4 linked regions of the Drosophila melanogaster genome follow. The protein of the gene in region 3 interacts with the protein of the main gene of each other region in a pairwise test. Each region holds a gene or a part of one and is shown on either strand. Other genes may lie near its edges. The genes, in order: CG11409, Lcp65Ae, Obp56a and CG13494.

What was found.
Region 1: the proteins of Obp56a (region 3) and CG11409 interact in a two-hybrid assay, tested with the Drosophila melanogaster proteins (one large-scale study listed by BioGRID).
Region 2: the proteins of Obp56a (region 3) and Lcp65Ae interact in a two-hybrid assay, tested with the Drosophila melanogaster proteins (one large-scale study listed by BioGRID).
Region 4: the proteins of Obp56a (region 3) and CG13494 interact in a two-hybrid assay, tested with the Drosophila melanogaster proteins (one large-scale study listed by BioGRID).

Annotation. Positions count from the first base shown.
Region 1 is NC_004354.4:1,337,432-1,343,940, reverse strand, and holds the start of CG11409 (uncharacterized protein), read left to right. Parts: upstream 1-2,353; 5' UTR 2,354-2,616; intron 2,617-5,718; exon of another isoform or gene 5,719-6,041; intron 6,042-6,509. Other genes in the region: Naa30A (N(alpha)-acetyltransferase 30 A), read right to left, coding at 1-162, 406-651, 727-1,449.
Region 2 is NT_037436.4:6,136,504-6,141,370, reverse strand, and holds Lcp65Ae (Lcp65Ae), read left to right. Parts: upstream 1-3,252; 5' UTR 3,253-3,292; coding exon 3,293-3,399; intron 3,400-3,459; coding exon 3,460-3,652; 3' UTR 3,653-3,788; downstream 3,789-4,867. Other genes in the region: Cpr65Av (cuticular protein 65Av), read left to right, coding at 1,510-1,655, 1,766-1,955; Lcp65Af, read left to right, coding at 4,631-4,734, 4,793-4,867.
Region 3 is NT_033778.4:19,695,323-19,700,113, forward strand, and holds Obp56a (Odorant-binding protein 56a), read left to right. Parts: upstream 1-2,400; 5' UTR 2,401-2,447; coding exon 2,448-2,507; intron 2,508-2,746; coding exon 2,747-3,106; 3' UTR 3,107-3,186; downstream 3,187-4,791. Other genes in the region: Obp56b (Odorant-binding protein 56b), read right to left, coding at 3,520-3,873, 3,936-3,995. UniProt on the Drosophila melanogaster protein: Present in the aqueous fluid surrounding olfactory sensory dendrites and are thought to aid in the capture and transport of hydrophobic odorants into and through this fluid.
Region 4 is NT_033778.4:21,953,062-21,957,918, reverse strand, and holds CG13494 (uncharacterized protein), read left to right. Parts: upstream 1-3,073; 5' UTR 3,074-3,146; coding exon 3,147-3,509; 3' UTR 3,510-3,677; downstream 3,678-4,857. Other genes in the region: CG43405 (uncharacterized protein), read left to right, coding at 3,967-4,236.

The sequences.
Region 1 (6,509 bases), on a different chromosome or scaffold from region 3:
TCTAAACCAGAGCTTCAGCCGCAGCGCGTCCACCCCGTTAAGATAGTAGCGGAACAGCCGCTTATCTCGCACGAAGCCCAAGTTCTCGTAGAGCCGCAAAGCCGGCTGGTTACGCATCTCCGTCTCAAGCACCACCTCGTCGGCATTGTCGGCCAGCATTGCCTGCAAATGGGAAAATTGCAGTGTGATATAAGTTTTCACAGAAAGAGAGGTAGTTGGTATGTATCCCTCGCCAATGTGCCCGAAAGTATACCTCGAGGCTCGAGGAGCCATTGGTGAGCTTTGATGGCAATTTCATCCATAGTTAACAACACATAATTGTTCCGTAACACACATATCGAGCATCGATTACATGCAACCCGATTTATAACTTATTGCAAGGGAAAGATGCCCCAGACATCCTACCTCTATGGCCTTGGTGACCAGCGTGGTGCCGATTTTGAGCTTGCGATACTCCTTGCGCACGGCCAGCATGGCGATGTAGCCGCGCCGCACGTTCATGTGCATATCCAGCTTGCACACGATGGCGCCCACGTACTGATTGTCGTGCGAGGCGAGGAAGCAGAGTTTTGGCCAATTGTAGATGAAGTAGCGATACGTGTATATCGAGTACGGCTCGGACAGCTCCGCCTGGATCAGTCGCATGATGTCCTGCGTGTTCGATATGCGGGGAATTAGATAAGTGTTGCGCACAGTTCGCACTTGGTCATACTTGGAGGTACTCACATGCATTTGGTGTTCAGCCTCGTATTCCTTATATACGATCTCGTCGGCTGAAATGGCAGGTTCCGGCAGTTGGAGCTGTGCTGTAATGGTGGGCGTGGCCCCCTCTGCATAGTCGGAGGGCGGTTGCTTCCTCTCCTGCTCCCGACTGTGGCCACTCCCCGTCGCCACATGCACTCCCTGTTCCACAGCTACATCCTCCGACACTTTTGGTTTTGGGTCCGTCGTTGTGGTTGGGTGTATGTTGGCAGTGGTTTTGCTTGTGGCTGTTATGGGCTTCTCCTCCGGTTTGAGGGAGTTCGAATCCGATCCTCCGCCGTCGCCTCCTTCTCTTCGCTGCTTGCGGTTGTTGTTGCTGCTGTCCACGCTGTTGTTGTTGTGAGTGCTGTTGTTGTTGTTGCTGCTGCCGCTTGTGCAGCGAATGTGATTGTTGTTGCTGTGCCCATGTGCATGGCCATTGACGACCTCCCCAAGCGGCCGAGCCTCCTGCTCCTTGTGACCATGGCCATTGCAAAGGTGCATCTTTTTAAGCAGGCCTCTGAGTTCCTGCGCTGGCTCCTGGTCTTCCGTCGCCTCCTCCTCTTGGTGCTGAACGTGTCCATTGCTGGGTGTCTGTGCCTCCACCTGGCCACTGGAATTTGGATTGTGATTGGGGTTCTTCTCCGCTGAGTTCTTTTTGTTCTTGTACTTCTTCTTTCCGGCCGCCGCTGCCTGGGCATCCGCCATTCTGAAAAGCGACGGAATTGGCTCTAAGAGGGAACCTGCTGCTCCTCCGGGGCTTATCTGGGAGGACTGGTAATCCTCGCCTGCAACCGTGTGCCTCGGACTTATTTTTGGTTATATTTTCACAGTTGATGGTTTTTCATTCACACGCACACGCACACGCTCACGCACATACTCACACACTCGCGCACGCACACATGGGGCAGTCGGCCGTCCTCTTTGTTGTGCTTCCGATATTCGGAGTTCCGGATCGATCAATCCGATCTCGATTTGTGGCGCTAGTGCGTGTGCATGGCAAACTTATGTAAAATCCTATATCCGCAAAACTCGTAATTTTCCTTGCTATGAATAAATCCCACCCACACATATGCGCGAACAGCTGTAACAGCAATCGATTGGCACTCGATACTATCGATACAATCATCGCCGGCCAACTGTGACTATCGGCTATCGAATTATCAATTGATATTATTACTATTAAATTAACAGCTAAGATTAATGAAAATATTTAAAAATTATATTAAATAAAATCTAAAACTACGTTGATTTTATCAAATTTATATTTGGCATGCACCTTACATCGCAAATGTTCATATATTTGATATTTGATTAGATTTGATCTTTGTAATATTATTACAATCTTTAAACGTAATATTCTCATACCTATATTCTTTATAGCTGCCATTTAATTTCTGACTTTGGAATGTTAACTTATTTGTATTTGCAATACTTTTGCCAAATTAGATCGTCAGCTTGTGCCTTTTTGCGAGGGTGTGCTGTACATAACGGAAAAGAGGATCAATAATAAGAAGAAGAAGCTGCTCATTTCAAAGTTCTCTTCTTGTTCTTCCTTTTCTTCTTAAAGAAGAAGCAACTATTTTACGGCGTAAAGATTTTTGATTTACGGGACTTTTGTTTGAAAAAAGTGCTGCAAATCAGTTTGAAGTGTTAGTTATAATTAAGTGCATGTCGTGGCAATGAGTAGCATCGAAATGTTACCCGAAAACGGATGGAAGTCCAATAAATTGCTCGAAACGTATGTTCACTTACACTCGCCATTTAAAAGTATACGTGTGTGTGTTTGTGTGTACGTGCGTGTTTTCTCCTGCGCTTATTTTTTTGTCTCTTTTGTTTTGTGATTTCCAAACTATTAAAAACGTTCTTCAATTGGTAAGTTACTAGTTAAATTCAGTTGTACTAATTAATAACTCTGCAGTGCGACCTTCGCCTACTTTTGGTTTCCTTTTCGCGCCATTAGCATTCGCCATAAAATAAAATCCATAAATTACAGCTAAATCAAATGCAATAAAACCAAATTACAATCTCGAATCATATAAGTCACATAAGTCACTAATCCGCAGTTTCCTGAGATCTGCACTTCCTCCACTTTCCTTGCCGTTTGTCTTGGTTGAGAACGCAGGATTATTCGGAACTTGCAAAGGTTTCGAGTCAAATGAAAATATAACCCCTGATTTTACAATGTATGTACATATGTATGTGGTAACTGCCAGGAGAAATCCGCCTGCCGTTTGCTGTCAATTTTGTGGATTTTTAACGACGGCAATCAGTCGACTGTTTTAGCGTTATAGCCCGTCGCTTTGATGGGGACTCCAGCTCCTCCCAACGTCATAATCGAAAGACTTGGGTAACGAACGAACTCGGCATGGCCGATGTCGTTGCCTCTCAGTTGGGCTGGCTGCCCCCAGAACTGGGACTACATCAGCACTAGCTGGTGACGAAATCGGCTGGGGAGGCCAGGCGGTCTCGATCTTCGATCTGCTTTCGGACCAGCATAGCCTACTTTGCATACGGAATTGGACTTGAATTTGATTGACTGAAATTGAATAATCCGAGCCACGCGATTGGATAATTTCTTGAAATTTTGCATACGAACTTGCAAGCGCAAGTTGGCGTCCGTTTTTCTGGACGTCTGTTTCACTTTTCGCTGTTGCTGCAGTGACGCGGGCAAATCCAAAATTAGCAAAGCAAACAACATACGGAGAAAGTGAATGGCCGAATAAAGTAAAAGCAGTGGCGGAGAAAGGGTAACGAAGAAAGGGGAGAGAGCGGGAGCGGACAGGTGCCGCAGCCAACGCCTTATCACCTTGCTGGCGGAGATCTCTAAAAGATAGAGATACAATTTAGCACTTAGCACCCACGTGACGAAATGATATATGCAGTTTGGCCACAATGGCATGGACTTCTTGTTTTAAACTATATTTTTTGTGTCGGTTGATCATGGTAACTGGCGGCTCCCCAGCCAACGGACATAGCATTGTCAGTTGGTTCGTCAGTGAAGTTGGTTCTATAAGTCAAGAGCTACGTATGCTAAGGCCACCTAAGGGTATTAGGGTATTTGGCCTGCGACCTGGGTATTTGACCAATTTTATTTTGCACATCCACGGCGCATTAAAGCAATTCACTTTTTGCGCGATGCTCCATAGCTCCATAGTTCCATAGCTCCAAGCCGAGCCCCACTCCATTCTCCCGAGCATTTGGCCGTGTCATGTCAAGAGTTATGGGCTTCGTAATTTTTCTGAGTTTTCGTTTATATATTTTTGGTTGTTTTAGTTCGGTTTCCTTTGGGGCTTTGTTGTTTGCCGTGTCGCAATGCTGCGAGTGTGCGCAAATGGCAAAGTCAAAGCGCATGCGCTCCAAATGTGAAGCACCTGGCCAAACCCTACCCCTAGTTCCACCTATGTACCTTACCCATCCCAAAACAACTTAAGTGAAGCATAAGGCATGCGGCTCGAGCTGAGCTAAGCAAACTAAAACCGCAGACGAATGTGTCGCGTCAGCGTTAAATTGTGTCAAATGTTGTCACACACAAAAAAGCAGCCTCAGCCTCCCTTTTTTGCGGCGAGGCGGTAAACACCGTTGTGTGCAAATGGCAAATGTTACAAATAACCAAAAATCGTTTTAATTATTTCGAGCAAAACGTGCCAAGCGCAAAATGAGCCCAACGTTTGTGGCCTGTGTGTGGCCCTATTGAGAAACTAGGTTTAACTGCGTCTTTAAATTTGTAGCAGTAATCGTAAGATAAGACAGAACTCTCATGTTTTGCAAACCCAATGGATTTTCCCGGCCGGTCCACTTGAAGTCCGGAGGGATCAGAGCGATCGAGTGGCAGCGATGGGAAGCACTGGAGCCCGAGTTCATTGAGGCCCATCGACGGTCTTCGATCGTTGAACGGCTATATACAGACCATGGCTGGCCGCGCTCCTTGTGCGTGAGTTTTATTATGCAAGCGGAGCGGAGCAGAGCAGAGACCACATGGTAATAAAAACCAAACCAATATTAGTCCGCTACATTGCGGGGCGCAGCAGCAGAAAGCCAGAGAAAACCGAACCAATCGAATTTGTCAATGGGGGAAAGAAGCTGGCCGAAGTGAAATGCCCGTGCGCTAGCAGAAACCCGTCTGCATCCACGGCAGAGTGCTGTTTACCTGTTCACCTTCCCTGGCCAGAGCCATGCTCCGTCTTATCATCGTTCGCAGTGTACTTGGTCAAGGCAAGCCAGCCACTTTTAACCGGCGATCAACCGATTTGATGGGAGCTGGGCGATCAGCGGTTACCACGACCGGCCTCGCGTCGCGATCGTAATCCCTCCCAAAAATGTCTTCTAAGCCAAATCGATTTTTAATTGAGACTTCGGCGCCAGAGCGCTGCACCCTGCGTTGCCCAGGGCAGTACTTAAAGAACCAGCCAACTAGCAATCTGCTATCGCTATGTCATGCCAATCATTCGAGATGAGGCCTCGTTATTATTAGGTGCTAAAATCGTTCAATCTGCAGCAAAATAGTTTAACTCAATGCAAGCTTGAGCCGTATGGTTACTATTTCAAATGTTATTGCAGTACATATAACAGTCTAGTATAGTACGAGTGTCGGCACATGACGTGCATTAACATGCCTTTTTAAATTGCTTTGTGTTAAGTGTGTTTTTACAATGAACCAATTTATGTAATGGCTCCAAGCGAGCCTAATAGATGGTATCGTATATGTGAGGCCAGCAAGTTGGAGCACCGAATCTAGGCTACGAAATGTAAGTTTATGCCATGCATTTCAAATGGGATTAAATGGATGCATCTAATCAAAGCACTCAGCATCCAGTGTTTTCTAGCCCCGACTTCTAAAGAGCCAGATCGCCGCAGCAAAAGCGGTAGTAGCAGCATAAGCCGCAGCAGCAGCACCAGCAGCTGCGGCGGCAGCAGCAGCAGCAGCAGCAGCAGCAGCAGCAGCGAAGTTGGCCAAGACGACTTTCGGCCGGGTTCAGTACGCTGCGAACGCTCATTGAAAATGGTCTGCAGGCCGCGCATGCGATTGAGACCGAAAACGAAACAAAACCGAGTCCGCTATCTATCTATATCGATACCGACACAGAAGCCAAGCGACAGTCGCGTGTTCGCGTTTTGCTTCGATTTAATTTCGGTTTTTCCTTCCTCGATTTTTTTTAACAGTGTGGTGTGCTGTGCTCCGTGTGCATTGAAAGTTTGACGCCTCTGAAGTTGTGAAAAAGCGTCTCGATTCGATTTAAATTTGGATTTTTAGGAGTGCGCGGCGAACGTGAGCGAGCGAGCGGCAGAAAATTTAAAATGTAATTGAAAATAGTTGGCTACTGCTGGTCCGCTGGTGACAGACAGGTTATTGGTCTTGCACAGGTGGTGCAAGCAACAAACAAAAGACTTAGGCAACGAACTCACGATCCACGATTCGAATAGGCTGCACCGCAGCAACGACCTTGGCACAAGGGCACTGCAAAGGGGATTTCAATTGCATGTGCAACGAATGGGATCAAATAGGATCTAATGGCTGTCATTAAGACATGAACTGTCTGGTTACGCATAATGTACCCTATAGCTTCTACCAGGCAGTTCATAGTATTCAGTTTAGAAGTAGATGTAGGATTTAAGGAAGCTTAGCACAAATGTCTAGAGCTAGACAAAAAGCAATTACTCGTAATATGCTCTAATTAAATTGCATAGCCCATACCCAAATAGAAATAAGACACTGCGCAACGAGGGGCAGTCCAAGAAGGGGAATAATGAAATAACTGGTGGTAAAA
Region 2 (4,867 bases), on a different chromosome or scaffold from region 3:
CGAATTTATAAGCTCTGTTAAAAAAAGTATCTTAAAAAATGTGGTATTGCAATATTTGCAATATGAAATACATAAAAATTATGTTTATATTTTTGTATGACTTTAAGTATGTATTTACATATATTAAAGGAACAAGGTCTCTTAAAAAGTTTAGTCTAAACAAATTATAAAGTGATTCTGTATGCAATTATGCCATTAGACTACTTCTTGCTGTGTACCAGTCACAGATTTCTGAATGATTTATAATGCCCGAAAATGACCAGCAGTGACATTACGCATACGCCCCGATGTATTGTGGTATTGTAGGGCATACATAGCCCAGCCTTAGTCGGCTGAGCTTGGTATTGGCTTTTGTTGTCTGGTTAGCTGGTATTTTATTGACTAAGGTCATCAACCAACACTCGGGCTGCTGACTATGGAGATGGAAACGACGATGATGAGCCGCGTAATCTTGAATCTCTCGTGCCGCATCTTCACTTAAACAGCAAATGCAGCTGACAAGCAATGGCGGTGGAGGTTTTCGTTTCTTTTCGATTCGATTCGTTTCAAGATTTTTGGAGGTTAAATCGCCCTGTCTTAATCGGAAATTGTGTCAGCAGTTAACAGACGTCAGGGCGGAAATGCTTCAATATTCCCCAAAAAAAATTTGCAGCTTTGCAGTCGGATAATTCAAGAATTACATTTATGAGGAAATATCAGCTGAAAAAGCGGAGATTAAGTGTTTATATGATGGCAATTAAATCTCAAGATCATGGGAATTCCTAGATTCCATGAATTGAATTCTTCTTCCCGTTCTTTGCTTAGTTTCCTAAACATATTTTAAGTGGTTGAGTTTTATTCACTTCCTCACTGCTCACTTCTCTTGGGGATTTAATTTCCAACCCATTTTGCTTTGTTTCATCTTCGATAATCTTTTTCATCACAATTTGTTGATAAGTGCAAACATAGCCATTGACCTATTGCCATAGATCCAAATGTATATATGCCTGCTTGTCTACTTGTAGGCAAACACGCGCATTGACCAAATATTTGTTTTTTGTTGGGGGGCCCAAACATTTCATTATCACTTGCTCCATCATCTTCAGCTCCGATTTAACTTTCAGCTCCCGTGGCGTGGCAATTGAGATGAGATTCGAGCGCACATCAAACGCTTAATGGTCTTTAAATTATTTTTTTGGCTTGTTCAATTAAAAGCTTAAGCTACTCACGCTGCCATACAGTTGCCTTCAATTATATGCGTATGGGTAGATAATTGTGTTAGCATTTGAGGTGTTTGTTATGGGCCACCTAAACTTTACGGATCACATAAGTGTGTGTAAATGAGTGTGTGTGTTGGACTCGCAGCACTTGGAGTTTTGGCCCGGCCAGTTATAAATAGCTCAACACTCATTACAGTTAGCCACATTACTCGTTAGTGCCTAATTGTGATAACTACCGGAGCGTGCACTAAAAACCAAACTTAGCCAGGACCTTTTGAAAAGTCTCTACCAGAATCCAATCCAACTAAACATGCAGTCCTCCAGCATCTGTGTCCTGGCCATTTGCGCCTTCGCTCTGCTCTCCACCATTAGGGCTGCTCCTCTGGACGACTCCCAACATGCCACCATACTAAGATACGACAACGACAACATTGGCACTGATGGCTACAACTTCGGGTGAGTAGCAAGGACAATGCACGGGATATTTCCAAGGATTGAAACTTTTGTGTACTCTCGCCTTTCGAAAAGAAGAACCCATTCAAAAGAGTTAACTATCTTGATTTCAGCTACGAGACCAGTGATGGAGTTACCCGCCAGGAGCAGGCTGAGGTGAAGAACGCCGGTACCGACCAGGAGGCGCTCAGTGTGCGCGGTTCCGTCAGCTGGGTTGCTCCCGATGGCCAGACCTACACCCTGCACTACATTGCGGATGAGAACGGTTTCCAGCCCCAGGGCGATCATCTGCCCCACAACTAAGTATTTCCTCTTTGTGTAGTCAGTATCGAAAGCAGTATTTCTTTATATTGTAAAAATATCAGGGTTCTAAAGTATTTTAATGTTTGCTCCAATGATCATATTTCATTATAATAACATAGTCGATATCAATACATAAATAGCTGAATCGTATTGTTTGATTATTAAATTATCACAATCAAATGCCAGTCTTCAGCTAGTCTGTTTGGATTTTTTGCGATCATAAAGTGAAATGAGTTAGATCGTCCGTTCAACCCGGATCAAAAGACGTTCCCTATGCTAAATTTAATATTTATGGTAGGGCTATATCAATGAAAAGAAAAGTATGACGCAAGAGATGGAAGAACAGGGTGCCTGTTCTCTTCACATTTTCCATACGCAACGTTGAACGTCGAAATGCGGTGTGTGTCTCGTCTTGGCTCGTCTCGTCTGGCGACTTTGCCTGGACGGCCTTCGGTTGGCAGAAACTTGCAAATTTTTGGCACAGCCAAACATGTTTGGGTTTTTGTTGTCTTTGTAATTAATACATAATTAAAGTGGCGCATATTGAAAAATGTGCGAGGGATCTGGCCACAAATGAAAACGAAGTTTTGAAGGTTAATTTCAGGCGTTGATTTAAATTTCATGCGATGCTAATGAAATTTGGAAGATACCTTCCAAAAACAACATACAGCGCACAGAGAGCCAAACGGCCAAATTAATATGCATGAAATAAAAAGCTACAATGATCAAACTAGTTTTGGAATGAAACGATTGGACGCATTGATCGATCTTTAAGCTAACAGAGCGCTGACGTAGTTTCCATGCCCAATTTTAAGTTGAACACACTTGATTTACATACTTATTGTCGTTGATGTACAGAACTATTGGCTGGTATGCTCAATGAAGTTCTAAATATACGTATGCGAATCGATCGAACTGAACTCATTGCTATTTTCCGATTGTTATATTAGGAAGGGATGTGAAAATGAAGTTGAACAATAAGAAGTGCTACACATTTGAATTTGTCTAAGAATTGTTTAATTTTATGGCCATTGTTAGTGGTGAACTAGCCAATTAGTAGAACTATCTTGCCTGACGACTATTTATTTCATGTCATTCCAGCTTGATACGATGCGAAATGTATGTGCAGGGACATTAATTCGAAAAACCCGATGAAGCATCCCATTATAGTTTTGCGATTTCCAAAATGCGAGTCCATTTAATGAGATATGCAAGATTTTAGGTTTGACAGTGTCGTGGATTAGATTGCAAGTCAAATATAAAAGTGTTCATCCTGCACTCCGTCGATATCATTCGCATCGAACTCTTCGAGATCTCCAAACCAGCCCAAATTCAACATGAAATTCCTGATCGTCTTTGTAGCAATCTTCGCTTTTGCTTTGGCTAACGAAGCGCAAATTATTAACTTGGAATCCGATGTTGGACCCGAAAACTTTCAGTGGTCGTAAGTAGACTGACAGGGTCCTCATAAAAATGCCTAACTGATTCTGGACCTTCGTATTAGCTTCGAGACCAGCGATGGCCAGGCGGCTAACGCTAAGGGACAGTTGAAGTACCCTAACACCGACCACGAGTCCCTTGCTGTCCAGGGATCCTTCCGCTTCGTTGCCGATGATGGCCAGACCTACGAAGTCAACTACATCGCCGATGAGAACGGATTCCAGCCCCAGGGTGCCCATCTTCCCGTTGCCTCCTAAGTGGTTCGAAGTGGAATACCATGATTTTAATATTGCTTTAACTGCCCTAAATCCGTTTTGGCCAAGTCAAAAGTCAAAATTGTAGAGCTACTAAATAATAAAAAATAATGAATGTATATAAAAGAATCTGTTTTTCAATTTCCTATTTGGGTCACAAGAAGTCAACTTCTAAAAAATGAAATATTTATAGCACAACGTGTACTCATCCCAAAAGATCAGATCGATCGATCTGATGATTGGACCGATATCTTAAGTATTTTTTTATATATATTGTTAGTCGATTTTAATTGTACTTTCTGATATGCAGTAAGAGCCACGTATTTAGAATGCCAGAAAATGGGATTTCATATTCCCTATTTCCACCTATATTAATGGAAAATGCCTACCCTAATCTAGTTTTAGTTTAGTTTACTTATAAATTTTATTTAAATCTTGTATACGAAATAAGCTTGCTTAAAAACTGTATTAATATTTTCTTATACCTAACAAATAAATCCGAGTTGTTGGAGCAATTATTGCTACATAAAGTTACATGCCTGGCCTACTTTTTCCCATTTCTTTTGAATTTTTTACTAATTAGAATTTTATTTTTAAAAGGACTTCATTGAAAGAAGTCTACATTTCCCATTCAAAAATAATATAATAAATAAATAAATGTATCGTTAATTTAAATTCATCCACATCTCTCTAGATCTCTAGATCTATGAATATTAAATTTCCACAGCTAGTCTCAAACAAATTTGATAAAATGTAATCAAAATTGAAGCGCTGAAATGGCAACACTCAAAAACGTTCACCATTGAGTTGAAAGCAAAACTGAACTCAATATCATGCATTTTATGCTCAGTATGCGAATTAGATTAGCGTCACCGCACCTTGGACTTGTTCACAATTTATGTATAAATGAGTTCATCCCAAAGTCAATCGATATCATTCGCATCGAACTCTTCGAGATCAGCACATAAGCCAAAAATCAACATGAAGTTCCTGATTGTCTTCGTCGCCCTCTTCGCCCTGGCTGTCGCCGATGTTCAGATTCTGAAGCAGGAGTCCGATGTCGGACCTGTAAGCTTTAACTATGGGTATGTTTTGTGAACTATGTGACAAGGATTTGTTTTCTTACCCTTTGCTCTTGATTAGCTACGAGACCAGCGATGGATCCTCTGCTCAGGCCGCCGGACAGCTGAAGAACGTTGGAACTGATGAGGAGGCTCT
Region 3 (4,791 bases):
AAGCGGAAAACCTTCACCTCGTCGCTTTTGACACGCAAATTTATAACGGCAACAGTGGCAAACAAAAACTTGCTATGGCCAAAACACACAAGCGCCCAGACCCTCAAAAATAAAGAAGGGAAAGGCACAAATTTTTGAACGCATACAAATGCAATTTAAATTTACTTATTTAGAACCCCTGGGAATTTCAAATTATTTGCCTTTTCACGCAAATTTAGCGACCATTTTTCTCACAGAAATAGAACTCAGACAGGTGGGTCGTCGTCGGGCCGGAGTTTTCATAGTTGGGGATATTAAGCCAACCCCCTGACATGTGTACACGGGCTGATTCTTGGGCGTAACTTTTTCCAACTCTCATTCTTTTTTTTTTACTTTCCATGGGGGCGATTAGAAAATGCTTCACCCCACCGAAGAAAGTAACCCAAAAGTCTCTGACAAATGCTCTTTGGCCAGCATGTTGTTGTTGCTGCTGTGTTCTGTGGTGATTAATGACGTCGAAAGCTGAGCAGGATCTGCTCTGCGGGGATGCCGTGGCAGCTTAATTTAAAATGAAAATTGTACTTAATTTCTAGCTGAAATTTGGCGGCATTGGACGGGGGGCTTGTAGACTGATTATGCTCTTCATGGTTTTGCCTTGTGCTCTATAGGGATAGCCATCCATAGCTCAGCTCTGGTTCGTTAGAAATAAGCTTGAACAAATATTACATTTTTGCCTTGTTAATGATTCGAAAGTTGAAAAAGAATGTACAAATTTTGAGAAATTAATCCTGTTTGTCTAGATATTTAAATGGTCACATAAGGGAGCACCTTTAACCTTTTGTAGAAAAGCATCACTTTTATTTGCATTTTACGTATTTAACTCAAATACCTAATACGTTCGAATGTAATTTCTTTTAATTAAACCTTTATAAAATTCCTGACTTAATACAAAGCTTACGTCCAAAACAAAGCCAACAAAAAACTAATTGCCACCTGTTAACATTCCTAAAATGCTTTTACTCTCCTTCAAAATCATTATTTTTATAAAGTTTTCAGATTAAATTGCCAGGTTTTTTTCTTACATCCAACAAACAATCTTTGCATGTGTAACGCCAGAGTTTATCACTCAAGTCGGCTGTCCCCACCACAAGCAAATTGAATTAAGATTACCACACAAGGATTTCAAAGCATTTGCGGAGAAGTCAAACAAGCTTTAGTTTATTATTATTATTGCGTCAGAGCGAAAAGTTTTCAGCCACTGGTTGGTCAGGGGGCGGATGTTGGGATGGTGGAGGGGGCTGTGGTGTCTGCGTGTGCGTTGGAAAATTTTCAATCGCAATCTTATGGTTTATTTCTTTAGCGCCAAAGCTACTTTATTTTGACAGCAGACAAACAAATGTCAGAATTGAAATTAAAAGGAAGGCAGCGACAGCAGAAGAAGTCAGTGGAAAACTTGTGAAAAACACGCCCGACTCAAAGATGTAGACGAAGGTTTTTGCGAGGGAGAAGGGATGTCTTGGCCACAGTACGCAGTCCCAATCAGAAACTCCGGATCCCGGCCACGACTTTGGATCCGACTCCGACTCCGGCTCGATTCCATCAGCCTCAGTCTGAGTCTCAGCATCAGCATTACCACCCACACGCACTGACTTTCCTGCATTCCCGCATTTTCTTTTTGTACATTTCACACAGCGTGAAATTTTCTAAATGTCATTTTGCTGTCATCTCGTGGATAATAAGATTACAACTACGCTGAAATAATAGGATTCAAATGAAAAAACTTTGCCGTCGTCGTCTGTCTCCTTGCGCTTCTCAACTTTCAATACGCGCTTGGCCACACCTCTCCGCCCAGATACATAGATATATATCTGAATCAGAATCCGACTGGGGCGTTGTCGGTTGGTTATTGTGCCTTTAGCTTGGGATCTGCCACCTGGTATGGGGCAGCAGTGGAAAGTTTTTGATAGAGTGTAGCGATAATGAGTGAGCAGCCACAATTTCAACTCCAACTCCAGACGGAGTAACTTGAGCGACCTACGATCTGGACACCACTTGAGCCGTCCCTGTCTGTACCATGTCTGCGTTCTATCTGTATAATTGATTCGATTCCCCAGGTTGGACAGGTAGAAGGCGGTTTAATGAACCATGCTTTCATAGCGACCATAACTTCAGATTGTCTACCTGGCCGCGGGCCACAAATAGACGAAAGTACTGGCCAAGATTGCAAAAAAAAAGAACCCAGCTAGACCAAAGGAAATGGGAAAGATAGCAAACAGAAATCTAAAACCAAAACCAAAACAAAAATCAAAAAGCAAAGCCATCAGCTGGGCTTAGTTGGATCACTGCCCGGGGCCATAAAGAGAAACCGGCTTTTATTGGCAACCAAGCCGGGTATAAAAGCCGCGATCCCATCCCATGTCGGCATCAGAACTTCCCCAACGTTCTAACAAGTCAAAGTATTTCTCAACATGAACTCCTACTTCGTGATCGCTTTGAGTGCTCTTTTTGTGACTCTGGCTGTTGGATCGGTGAGTTTGAGAAAACTAAACAATAGAATTATATGGGTTTTAAAGTCTTGAAATATTTTATTGGACTCTAACCCTATAAGATGTAATATTTATAAGCATATATCTACACTGAAGACCCTGACTTGGCTGTAAATATAAAGTCTGAATCTTCGAGCCTTTGGTGTGTGTTTGGAATATATGAAGTAAACGACTTGGCTAAATGTTTTTGTTATTAAAACCTTAAATTATCATTTTCTTAGTCCCTTAATCTGAGCGACGAGCAGAAGGATCTGGCCAAGCAGCATCGTGAGCAGTGCGCCGAGGAAGTGAAACTTACCGAGGAGGAAAAGGCCAAGGTCAATGCCAAGGACTTCAATAACCCCACCGAGAACATCAAGTGCTTTGCCAACTGCTTCTTCGAGAAGGTCGGAACCCTGAAGGACGGTGAGCTGCAGGAGTCAGTGGTGCTGGAGAAGCTCGGCGCTCTCATTGGCGAGGAGAAGACCAAGGCGGCTCTGGAGAAGTGCAGGACCATCAAGGGCGAGAACAAGTGTGATACCGCCTCCAAGTTGTACGATTGCTTCGAGAGCTTCAAGCCCGCCCCCGAGGCTAAGGCCTAAAGAAGTTAGGGATTTAATGCTTGGCAAATTGTGATTCGGGAAAAAATGTAACAAAATTTAAATAAATTCTTTGTCCAATGAAACTATGCTTTGTTTTCCATATTAGGTGTTAATATGTCTTCTTGGTTTGTTTGAGTTTGGGTTAATAGAAATGCAACAATACGTTAAATCCTTGTTATTATTAAATCACCCAGTTTACTTTGATTCAATGCAATCATAGAACAAGTGCATCATTCTGAATCAGAAGGGTGAGTGGCAAATTTGCCACAGCTTAATTGATGCTCTCAAGCCCTGTTTCGCGTAAGCTGATTATAATCCATATTCATGTGTAAGTCAGGTGATTCGGCGTTTTCAATTTGCATAATTAAATGTATGACTGCATTGAACACTTAAACTGCTTTATTGTTTTAATTTTAGGCACTAATACCCTTAACAACACACTTTTCATAGTTGTAGACAAAGTCACAGGTGGCGGCTGACTTTGTGGTTCCGCAGCTGGTAAGCAAACTCTTTAGCTTATCCACCGGCAGACTGCTGAAACGGATCTGGGCCAACTTAACGATCTTATCAGTATTGGGCTTTCCATCGTCACCCAGGAGACCCAGTTTCTTGTAGACGCAGCTGTGATAGCACTTCACCGACTCAGAGGGATTCGCCACCTCCTTGTCGGTGGTCAGCAAATTAGCATCACTGGCAGCAATATTCAGCTCCTTGATGCAGGCCTGTTGAATTTGCTTGTAGGCTGCCAATTCCGCAGCTGACTGGCCCTGTTTTAAAAATGCGAATAAAATGATGAATTATCCCTAAAGCAACGTTTCATCCAACTTACCGCTACTAGTTCGCTTAGAGCGAAAATTAGGAATACAACCAACAAGTAGATAAGTTTCATCTTTCCAAAGCTACATTCACTGTCGAACTGAATTTCGTTCACAATAATATGGCTTAAATACGCGTAACATGCTTAAGTTCCAGACTTAATTTTGCCAATCAAGTTATTATTTTATTAAAATTCAATTAATAAAATTTATCAATTTTAAACTGGGTTATTTTTAATTCAGATCCAATTTTCCCATTTTAACCAGTAGGCGTTAAATCATCGCTGCCTAGATGATCATTCGGGTCAGTGAGCTTTGTTTGGACTTTGGATTTATTTACTTATTGTGCGTGAAATAGATTTTCTTCTTTTAAGATTGATTCTTATGTTTTAAGTGAAATGGCTTTTGTGTTTCTTAGTTTCTACAAACAATTTTTATTCGACATACAGCTGCATATAATAACATAATATGGGTCTTCTTATTAGTGTATTAATGATTGGGAAATGGTTACTTACTTATTTTAAGTATGATAAAATTGCTTACATTCGTTTTCTTCTTTTTACATTCAAATCAACACATTAGTTTACTTAACAATCTGCCCAAAACTATGCTATGGAACCGTTAAAAACATTTAGAAAAAAGTTAAGCCCAAAATTGAGCCCTATAATATGGTATTCAGCTTTTCAAACACATCAGAAAATATTAAAGCTTTTAATTAATAAAAAAAAAACTCTAGCAACTTAAAATTGTTTAAACTAATTACGCTGAAATGCAAAACTCTTGTTTTTATTTTATTTTATAGCTTTAAAACTCTCAAACGCTGAATAAGTTACAATTTAAGTACTTATTCATACATACATTTAAATAATA
Region 4 (4,857 bases), 2.3 Mb from region 3:
ATCCACACATGACCAAACATTTAAATGTAATTGCACATATTTAAATTCAATGGGCCCCGTGCCAAAATATTGGAGCATTCAATTTATTACCGCCGTCGTTCGATTGCCAAGCAAATGGGGAATGGCCGATTGATGGGCGTTGTTTGGAATCCATTTAATAGCTCCTAAAAGGCGCTAATTATTTAACCACATAAATCAGGGCGAATTTATTGGCCAGAGTTGGCCCGCGAAAAAACCAATCATTTCGAGTTAGCAAAGGAAAAAGGAAAATTAAGTCAATTGTAGCCCTTCGCATGCCAGCAATACATTGTAGTCAGCAGACGAAGGACTTTAGTAGGAACTAGCCAGGTTTACCAATTTGAACTCTAATGTTAATTCTACAACATTAATATTCAGTGAATCCTGGGTCAGTAGCGTCAGCTTATCGATTTCAGTACTCTAGAAAGTCCAAGATCCTGTCTGGCCGGCAAACAAATAAAAATGGTCATGCAATATTAATATTTATGCACAAATATTGGGACTAGGGAAAGGGAGTACAAGTTTGCTTTATCTAAGTGAAATGCTAAAAGATTGATGACTTTGGCGCTGGGCTTGCCCATAGTGTGTGCCTGTATGTGTGAGTGAGTTTCTGCCACACTTATAAGAATTTATGGCAATCGAGGGCGAGCGAAACGCTGCGTATACGCAATATTTATATTTATGTATTATGAATCAATGCGAAAGGGCCGGCCAAGGCAATAAGAACAGGAGAAAAAAATGAAACGAGTATAAAAGATGCGCACTAAAACAAAAGGATAACAATAACTTTTCGCAGGATGCGTGACGTGGTAAGCAGGGCAAAAATAAGAGAAATCGAGGGAAATCCAAGCTTCTGGCCGGGGAAAAGTAAATGGTTTTGCAGACCTGCAGAGAAAGGTCCATTGGGGCGGATTATGAGTAAGATGCTCTCGATTCGCCCCCCCCCCCCAAAAAAAAAAATAAAGAACAGCGCACAGAGCCAAGTCATAAAAATTGCATGAAAATGGGGCCGGCAAATTCGGCCGCCTCATCCACCGACTCATATGTGCGGGGATTATCTGCCGGATGGGATACGCCGGGAATCCAAGTGCTTGTCTTGTTTATTTGTTTGGCTTTTACGCCAAAAATTATACTATTACAATCAAGTTTACGATTGCGATTCGCTGCCCCCGTTGAGTGCCAATGAATGCGATGATGGCAGGATACGAACATGATCATTGCCATTGCGTTTGTTCCTGATGATGATGATGATTGGTTGGGAATACACATAAATTCAGCTGCGTACGATTTTCATTGGGGACGGATATCTGACCATTTGGGACTTTTCGACTAGGAAGTCATATTTGCCGGAAGATGATTTTCTTTACATTCGCATCTATTCAAGTGGAAAGATAGCCTTAACTTGCTATAAATCCATTTCTTAGATTTAAATAGTTTCTGAAAATATATTTAGTGTAGTGAAGACGCCTGTTTAGTATTCAGTTTTACCCCGAGATGGAATCGCAGACAGATGAGCCTAGTCCTTCCGCCTTTCAACGCGTTGCCCTGCAACTCATCCTTCGTCGAATTCTAATGTGCAAGTTGACTTTGTGCAATCGCGCATTGCATGCCACGCAGTTACCCCTCAGCCCGCAGCCAAAAGCTCTTAACCCCCTGAGGATCCTCAGCCGTTCGAGGGATGCGGCAACTACACGGAGGCACCAACCGCAGCAACAACAAGGACAACGCCTGCGACAGGATATGGCAAGTGGGCAACTTTGGAGCGGGCGAGTTTAAATTGCCAGAGCTAAAAGGGTTGCCAGCAACAACGCCGTGAAAAACGTAACTTTTTTCTGCTTTCCCCTACGATTTCATTCCTTCTTTTTTCAGAAAACATCGACAAGCGGCGCTTTTGACTGCCATTACCCACATTGCCACCCCTCGCAGCTTGTTTTTTGTGGCACAAAACTTTGCACTTTGACATGCAGCCACGTGTGCCATGATGCTATATGTTAAAGGTGTGTATGTGTGTGTGTGTGTGAGTGAGTTTGCAGGTGTGGGTGAATGCATGTCTGAGTGTGGGTGTCAGTGTGAGGCAGTGAATTGAATGAGCTTTCAATGCTGCCACCGCCAATTGGCCGACAAACGTGTCTAATAGTTCCCAATTGCAATCACTGATTTGTGATTCAGAACGAGAAGTGGATTTTTACTTTCCCGGTGAGTATATTATCAGGAGTTGTTTGATCAACCTTTAGTTACTTAACACAATGTTCAGTGTTTAATTATGGTTGAAGTCCAACGCAGTTTATATTTATTATGCACGAAACAGATAGATATCTGAAAAAATATATATTCATTTCGCTGTTTATCGAAGAGCTTCCTTTTGTTTTTTGCATTAAGTTGTTGACTCATTTTCTTAATTTTCTCTGTGGAGTAATCAGCGCACAAAATACAGTCATTATAATCAACGACCTCTTGGTACAGTAAACAGCTCCCTATAACGAACCCAGGCGCACACGTGCGCACACTTGAAAAAAATCTTTCTACTCGCATGAATATTTTAAAGCTCGCATCACATTCAAATTATGATAATGATGGCGTGAGGCGAGGGTGTGTTTTTTGCATATGAGTTAAAGTGGGGGTGTTTCGCAGAGTGGGTGTTTGGAGCGCTAACGAGCGCAGGTACACACAGGAGCTCAGGGACAGCTCCCCAGATCCCCGTTCGAGGACCACCCCTCTCTGCCAACCCAATCCCAGTTCCACCCGCAAAATGCTTTCGTTAATGCATTTCATTAATTATTATACAATTCGAATGGGCATTGTATGACGGGTGGTGTGTTCGTGGGTTTAATGAGTACTTTTGTGGAAAGGATTTTAAGTGCGATTGATCGTTAGAAGTCGCTTCGTGTGGAAGCGTGACGAATGCACCTATGCCCATAAGCTTCTTTGCTTTTGTCTTTCGTAGATGGGGAACTTGAATATATTTAAAACCAAATATGATGCTAAATTGAAAGTGGGCACATATGAAAATTGTGCTGAAGGAGTCTTTGAATACACACTCAACTTTGCTGTCTGAATTTTTGTAATTTATTCTAATTTACAATAAGCTAAACGTTAAACATTTCAATACCGTCAACAAGTGATTAATCATGGATGACACATTATCAACGGTAGAAGGCGGGATGACGGAAACATCCTCATGGAGCACCACGATCGCCACCACCACCACTACAGAGGCCGCCAAGGCGGGTAGCATGGCTGTCGGTATTATTGTCCTGATCGTTGTTATGGTGCTCCTCTGCTGCCTGCTCATCATCTGCCTGCCGCTCCTCTGCCTGTGCGGCTGTTGCGGACTCGCCTGCTCCGCGTGCCTCGCTTGCGACGAAGGATGTTGTGGTGAAGGCGGCGGCGGTGGATGTTGCGGCGATGACGGCGGTGGATGTTGCGGCGATGGCGGCGGGTGTGGCGATTGTGGCGACGGCTGTGGGGACTGCACCTTGGACGATGATTAATTCGGCGATAATTCAAGTTTCTATTAATATGTACGTAGTGCTAGGATATGCGATTCGAAAGCCTATAAATTTAATGTGCTCAGGTACAGATTCGTTAGGAGCATCCGTATGCTCATTGGCAAAATTGTTGTCTATTCATAAAAAATAAAAAAATCTAGCTTAATTTTGAAATGATATCTATTAACTTAATATATGGCAACCAAAAATCAAATTTAAAGTACAAAAAAATATCGACTTCAGTAAGCTGCGACTGTACTCTTAAAATTAAAAAAAAATCTATACCCAAAATAAAATTTCTGAAGGGTCAGGGTCATCGAAATTCTTAAGCTGCTATGCAAGGAACGGTGAGAAGCATTCGTTAATTTAATGTGATTTTCCTTATACATATTTCCTTCCATTTAGAGGGTTCAATCTATTATCGAAAGCAACAAAATTTGCAATTTATTTCCCATAAGCTATGGCCGAGTTGGATGCTACAACCCTATCTGAATACGATATTGAATATATAGACTTTAACATGACAACTGTGGCGTACCGTACAACCACTGGACACCCGGATACTAACCTAGGTGCTTGGGGACTTTTGTTCATATTCGTCGTAATTTTTCTTATCATTGCTGCCTGCTGTGCTTGTATGGGTGTTCTCGTCCTTTTTGGTTGTATGAAGTCCTTTCTCTGTTTTCGCTGTAGACGCCGAGGCGACGAGTTTATAGGAAGGGAACCCTGACTGTCGTTGAAATTCTGTCATTAAAACTGAAACTTGTGCTAATAAAATTATATGTTTTGTATGAATCGAAGTCCAAAGGAATTATTTTGCCGACAAATTAATGCGGTCCTGCCAAATTACGGCAGAGTAATTGGAAAAGGATGTACTGAAGTTCAATATAACATTAACCAAACATAATTCTAAGGAGAAACGTCAGGACTTACCAGATTCCTGGACAAGTGGCATCTACCAGTAGAGAATCCTTGGCCAAAGTGCCAGTGTGACAAATGTAAACCGATTAGCCACAGCTGGGGCCGATTATCAGATGGCCCAAAGAAAATAGCCCAGGCCCTACAGAAAATGCCTCAGGTCAGGAATTTCCAGAGCTTTCTCTGCGGACTGTGGACTATGGACTGAGTGCATAAATTCCTGGCATCTCCTGCAGCTGCAGGAAAGACACAAAACACTCGCCCAAGTCCAAGTCGTAAATGCACTCAGCACTTTGTCAGCTCTCAGACAGGAAATGCAGTTGCCATTTTTCTTTCATCCCAGCAAATCCCGTTCACCTCCTGCCTTTGGCCCCCGCCCGGAAAGTCGTTCTGCAACTGTCTACATTTTTCACTTGCCATCCATAAAAAGTAT